Linked DNA regions of Schizosaccharomyces pombe. The protein of the gene in region 1 purifies or fractionates together with the protein of each later gene. This does not show direct contact. Each region holds a gene or a part of one and is shown on either strand. Other genes may lie near its edges.

Region 1 (3,226 bases):
ACATCCGATGCTAGCTTGTTTTCGTTAGTTCCTCAGAGCCCTTCTGAACACCTTACTACTTTGGAACCGATTGCTAAGGTAACAATTCGTGATCCCAGTATGCAAGTCCAGAGACCATATACCCCTTTGTACTTGGATGCCAATGAATTAAAGTTCTTTATTAGAAAGTATGAAGAGGGTCCCGTTAGTTCTTATATTCATTCTAAGAAAGAAGGGGACACTATTGAACTTCGGGGTCCTTTTAAAACCACCAAACTCGATTGTACGAAGTACCCAAGAATCGTAGCTATCGTTGCAGGAACAGGAATTGCTCCTATATATCAATTAGCTCAGTCTGTTAAATCCCCAGTCGATATTGTATACTGCTCAAGGCCTGGTCAGCCCCCTTTGCTAAAAGAAGAATTGGAAAAGGAATGCCCAAACGTAAGGGTGAAGTCCGTCCAAAATCGTTTGGTAAACATTCATGACATTTTGGATTGGGATAATGTTACAGTTCCTTTAAAGGATACCCTTTGCATTGTCTGCGGTAGCCAGAAGTTTGTTTCTACAATTGCCGGACCGAAGGCTGATTATGGCGCAAGACAAGGAGAAGTCAAAGGACTTTTATCAAACAATCCGTTTGGGAAAGTTTGGAAGCTTTAGTTTAGAAATTTTTGGCTTAAGATTTTGGGTTGCACGATCTTTGGACAATTGTGCATAATACAAAAACGATTTTTTTGTTTATCTTCAAATAATTTATTTTTACCGATTTGGAAATAAATTTATACAAATAAGGGAACTCTTAAACGTTACGTGTTATCAATGAAATGGAGCGGTTTTCTTAGGTAATGGAGAGAAAATAAAAAAAATAGTATTTAAAAAGTTTCTAAGTGTATAAATTTTTATCCATTAAATCTAATTGTTATTGAGGGTTTATGCATCTGCTGCTAAGCAGGTATAGTATGTCAAAAAGAAAGCCCATACAAGCAAAATATCTTTAAATAATTAATTGCATAAAATGTGAACGAGGGAAAGGTTCATTTTCAACTCGCATATAAACAAGCATTAATGCAAAAACTCATCAACTGCTTCACTAGTAATATCTTCAGAATCTCTAGCTTCAAATACTTTGTGCACCTGCGACACATCTTGAAACCAGACTTTAGCAGAAGCATAAATCATAGATAAGTCATTTGGGGTAGCACTTGGTCTCCAGTATATCATAAACAATGGAGTACTAAGTCGACCATCTGTGGTTTTGGTAGGATAGGAAACAAGGATAAATCTAGGATTTGTTTCCGAGAGTTCATCTGCGACCTCTTCAATACTCTGTAAATCCATGATTTCTCCATCGGGAACAATCTCCTTAGTAGCTTTATCAACCTTGAGAATGAAAGCATACATAACTGATTTCTTCAACCGCAAACGAAATCGATCAATTTCTTTCATCGTGGTATCCGAAATGGTGAACATACGAGCCTCTGATGACATCTTTCTTGTTAGTTTATAATATTTATGTAAAACCACAGCAATAGCCAATTAAGGAAATTTAATTTCGAGGGTGGTGCTTTTGTTGGGTTGAATTAATACCGTTCGTGCAGAATCCTAAAAGATATTTAAATTCATGCTAGGAGTTAAAAATTTATTTTTGAGTTTTGATAGATAATTATTGATTTTTTAAATACAAATTATTCATCAATTTTATTATATTCAAAAAGTCTATATCCACGTATGTGATATCTTTGAAGTTCGTAAATTGGCAAATTTAAGCATTGTGTTATATTTACAACTTGATAAATAAAAAAAAAAAAAAAAAAAAAAAAAAGAGGATACTTAAGGATAAATATTATATAATACCTAAGATTGAACGAACTAATGTTTTTTTTTAATATTCCTAAGAATATCCTGTTAATGCAATCACTTTTTTAATAACATTCATAAAGTCTTTGGTCATCGGGACTAGCTAATAATACTTTACGACGAAGCGATAAAAATGTATTACTTTAGCAGCTCGAAGTCGAGCGGTAATAAATCAAACACTTAAATTTAAGTACTTATGTAAACTTTACTCTATAATAGGCTTAGGTGTAAAAGTTTATTTTCTTGCAAAAAGCACATACTACACCGCACCATGCTATGTCTGGAGTAGTAAATCTGGGTTTCCCACTTCACCCACTTGGCATTTAGAAAAAGTCCCAAAAACCATCAACATCGTTGTTCGATAATCTTAACGTCTTCCAAAATCCAAACTTAAAATATATAGGATAATTTGTACAGCAATTTGAAGCCCTTTTACTTTTGCTTTATGCTGACAATATTTTAAAAACGAGAAGCCGAGGCAGTGTCGCCATTTACTACAAAGCTGGTATTGCCCTTGTAAGAAATGACTTATGTTACTTATTTGCACAAGCCTTCTTCTATAAGAAACGCCGTGTTTTGTAAATTTGTCAATGCATCCTCCTGGAACGTAATAGTGGCTAAAGTAAATTGTTTGGAAGTCTATAGCTATGAAAATAATCGATTATGTTTAATAACTTCTGCTAATATTTTTGCGAAAATTGTGAATGTAAAAGCTTTTAAGCCTGTTTCATCCCCGACAGATCATATAATCGTTGCAACAGATTCCTTTCGTTATTTTACACTTTTTTGGGATGCCAATGATAACACTGTTTCTAATGGAATAAAGATACAGGATTGCAGTGAAAGGTCTCTTCGGGAAAGTCAATCTGGACCTTTGCTGTTAGTGGATCCATTTCAACGGGTTATTTGTTTACATGTATATCAGGGTTTACTGACTATTATCCCAATTTTTAAGTCAAAAAAACGATTTATGACTTCTCATAACAATCCTTCATTGCATGATAATTTTAGTGTGCGGATTCAAGAGTTAAATGTTGTCGACATAGCCATGCTTTATAACTCATCCCGTCCATCTTTAGCAGTTCTCTACAAGGATAGCAAGTCGATTGTGCATCTTTCTACGTACAAAATAAACGTTCGTGAACAAGAAATCGACGAGGATGATGTTGTTTGTCATGACATTGAGGAAGGTAAATTGATACCTAGTGAGAATGGTGGTGTTTTTGTGTTCGGGGAGATGTATGTATACTATATAAGTAAAGATATTCAGGTTTCGAAACTTCTTTTAACATACCCGATCACTGCGTTCTCTCCTTCCATTTCTAATGATCCCGAGACTGGCCTCGATTCTAGTATTTATATTGTAGCGGATGAGTCGGGTATGTTG
Region 2 (3,527 bases), 730 kb from region 1:
GAAACTAACAACATTATAGTCTTCTGTTTGTCATGGATATGTAGGAAATCGTGCTGCTACATTTCCACTTCAGCTTTTAGGTTGGGACGTAGATGCAATTCCAACTGTAGAGCTTTCAAATCATGCAGGTAAATTATTTAATTTCTTATTTTATATTTTATTAACGTATTTCAAGGGTATCCCATTGTTAAAGGAAGGACCTTAAGCGCAGAACAAATTCTGGATTTGTATAAGGGTGTTTCAGCAGCTAATCCCAGTGGCTATGAATGTTTGTTGACAGGATATGCCCGTGGAATAGGAAGTGTAAAAGCAATAATGGAGATAGTTCGCTCCGTAAAATCCAAGAATAAGAAGGCTTTTTGGGGTATGTGCGTTAGAAGTTGCCAATTCCCTTGAAGACTGACATGCTGACGCTAAAAAGTTTTTGATCCAGTTTTGGGAGATAATGGAAGGCTTTATGTCGAAGAAAGCATTATCCCGCTGTATAGAGAGATGCTCCCTTTTGCTGATTTAATTACACCTAATGGGTTTGAAGCAGAGTGAGTACTTTTAAGGAACAATCCTGCAATGAGTTTGAAAATCACTGACTTTTACTTAGAATTCTTTCAGGGATGCGCATAAATTCAATCGACACAGCATTTAAATGTGTGGAATGTCTACAACAAAAATATAAAGTTCCACGGGTTGTCATTTCATCTTTTGTCGTTGAAGAAAACGGCGTAGAAAAACTCTACTGTATAGGATCTTCTATATATTCCAAAAGTTTTTTTGTTCTGATTCCCGTGATTCCTGGGATATTTCGGGGAACTGGTGATCTATTTACAGCACTAATGGCAGCTCATATTGCTGAGAGCCCGGATTGTACTGAGAGCCTTGCCTCTATAAAGGAGGATAAACTTAAGAAATCAGTAGAAATGGCCCTTAGTTCTGTGCATGAAGTGATCCAAAAAACTGCCGACCGAATTTCTGCATTAGGTGTTGAAGAATATCACCCAGCTTATGCCGAACTCTGCATAGTTAATAGTCAAAATAGCATAATAGCTCCATCCAAATTATTCGAAGCAGTATACTATTATTAAATTTCGGATCTTTTATGCGTCTAAAATATGTTGGCCTTACTGTACCAAGGCCTGCTGTTTCAAAGTTGATTTTTTACTATCCGTTTTTCGCTTTCTTTTTTTGGATTGCACGTGAAATTCACAAAATATAGATTTTTTCAGTGTCTTGTTTCGTTTGCCTTTTTTACATGCTAACTTGGTGTTTGTTTTTCTCTTAAATAAAGGTTCATTACGATACCTCTCTTTTGCGAAGTATACAATGTTTTATATTAGAATGCTTATTGAAATTAATTTAGAAGTTTATAACTATTTATTCCATATCCTAAAGACTGTTGACTGGTTTCAAAATTTCGCAACCAAGGTTTATAAAAGCCATGTATTGGTACACTTCGAATTAGATAAAGTAATTAGATTCAGAACTCCTAATATACTGATTAATTTTTTTTTTTTTTTTTTAATTTCTAACATTTTAGATAAAATATTCAGTATATCCATAGACGGTAAAATAGTAGAAGTTTACCTAAGAAGCAAAAGGTAATCTAGAACAAAGAATGAGAACAAAAAGATTGTTAGTTCTTTAAAAATATATATTGAGTTCATGGTTTTAATATGATCTGTTGTTTTCTTACATGTTTGCAGATGCCTCAGTATAAGGATTTATAACACTATATGAACCTGAGTAATAAGAATTCCCGGGTCCGTCACACGTTAACCATCAACCATGCTCTCATTAGATTATAACAATATATTCATTTACGAGTTACTGACAGAAAGGTTTTCAAGGTATGTGAAACAAACAATAAAGAATTTCACTAATTTATAGCGAAAACCCGTCGTCGATTGATCAAGTGGTAACTGATTTTGATGGCGTCACGTTCCACATTTCAACTCCTGAGGAAAAGACGAAAATCTTGATCAGTCTGTCTATGAAATGCTATCCTGAGCTTGTTAATTACGGTACTCTGGATTTACTGAAACAGATTTACGGTGCTTATGTGCATGAACCTGAAATGGGATACAACTTCAGTATTCTTATAGACTTACAACAACTTCCCGCTACCGATGAGGAAAAAGAACAATTAGCTATGTCTATTTCTATGTTAAAAAGAAACGTTTTAGCTGCTCCCTTCCACCGTGCATTCACCAAACAAGCCGAACTAGCTGATTTGGCTCGTAAAGACCCGGAAAATGCCCCTATGCTTGACAAGCAAGCCACTTCTCAGGAGCTCATGGCAATTCATTATCGTGATGAAGAAACTATTGTTTTATGGCCTGAGCATGATCGCGTTACAGTCGTCTTTTCAACGAAATTCCGTGAAGAGACTGATCGCATCTTTGGCAAGGTATTCTTGCAGGAATTCGTTGATGCCCGTCGCCGTCCGGCTATTCAAACCGCTCCTCAAGTGCTCTTTTCCTATAGAGATCCACCTTTGGAGATTCGTGATATTCAGGGTATTCAAAAGGGTGATGACTTTGGATTTGTAACATTCGTTTTATTTGAGCGTCATTTTACACCTCAAAATCGTGAAGATTGCATATCTCATATCCAGGTTTTCCGCAACACCCTACACTTTCACATTAAGGCTTCCAAGGCTTACATGCACCAACGTATGCGTAAGCGTGTTGCTGACTTCCAAAAGGTTTTGAACCGGGCCAAGCCCGATGTGGAATTGGAGAGAAAGACAGCTACTGGTAGGTCATTTGTTCGTGCTTAATGTTCCGTCCCATGTTGATCCTTTCTTTCATCGTATCTTCATACGTAGTTATGATCTTTATATATGCTTCATGCTTCCCTCTCCTCGTAACAAACGTGAATTGTTTCTCACCCTTTTTTTCTATTCAAAGCTGGGTTGATTAAATGATGCTAGCGCAAAATACAGGAATATCAATCTTTGATTGTAGATACACACGTTACATAAGAGATGCTTATTTTTTGAAAATGAAAATTGTATTATACAAGTCATAAATAGTAACTGTTCTAAAGGACAAACTTTGAATAGCTAGTTAAGCCGTAATTTTGTAGCGCTATTGCAAAATACTTAGAAGAAGGAGAAAATAATCGCAAATTGATTTGTAAAAGCTCCGAAAAAGGAACTTCCTCATAAAATTTAAAGTATATTCTTTATATCCGTTTTCTGAGTAACATTATAGTTCTCGAAAAGAAGAACGTCTTCTTCCTTCGTGACTATCAGATTCATTTTTTCGTTTTCTTCTTCGACTAGTTTCTGTCGAGTCGTCGAGGTCATAAGCTGGACTACGTGTATGGGGACTCGACAGGGAAGAAAGAGAAAACAGTCTGTCTGATTCCGAATAGTCTGCACGACGGCGGAGGTTTGATGCATTGTTTTTTAAAAGACCTTCGAATCCACGAATAATGTTGCCAGTACCCGATGTTTTTTCTAAGTAACTGCCTTCCAGCCTATAGATAGAGTCCTCGAGACCTATTAACGAAGTTTCCAACAATTGTCG

What was found. The genes of interacting proteins can lie anywhere in the genome.
Region 2: the proteins of gmf1 (region 1) and arc2 purify together in Schizosaccharomyces pombe (affinity purification with western blotting, with the first as the bait; one study listed by BioGRID). This does not show direct contact.

The regions. Positions count from the first base shown.
Region 1 is NC_003424.3:2,023,579-2,026,804, reverse strand, and holds gmf1 (actin regulatory protein gmf1), read right to left. Parts: upstream 1,555-3,226; 5' UTR 1,471-1,554; coding exon 1,045-1,470; 3' UTR 753-1,044; downstream 1-752. Other genes in the region: cytochrome c-heme-linkage protein Cyc2, read left to right, coding at 1-642; protein Ddb1, read left to right, coding at 2,363-3,226.
Region 2 is NC_003424.3:2,749,224-2,752,750, reverse strand, and holds arc2 (ARP2/3 actin-organizing complex subunit Arc34), read left to right. Parts: upstream 1-1,768; 5' UTR 1,769-1,779; coding exon 1,780-1,841; intron 1,842-1,881; coding exon 1,882-2,773; 3' UTR 2,774-3,027; downstream 3,028-3,527. Other genes in the region: SPOM_SPAC6F6.11C (pyridoxine-pyridoxal-pyridoxamine kinase), read left to right, coding at 20-128, 176-364, 422-539, 599-1,079; NuA4 histone acetyltransferase complex subunit Eaf6, read right to left, coding at 3,204-3,527. UniProt on the Schizosaccharomyces pombe protein: Functions as actin-binding component of the Arp2/3 complex which is involved in regulation of actin polymerization and together with an activating nucleation-promoting factor (NPF) mediates the formation of branched actin networks.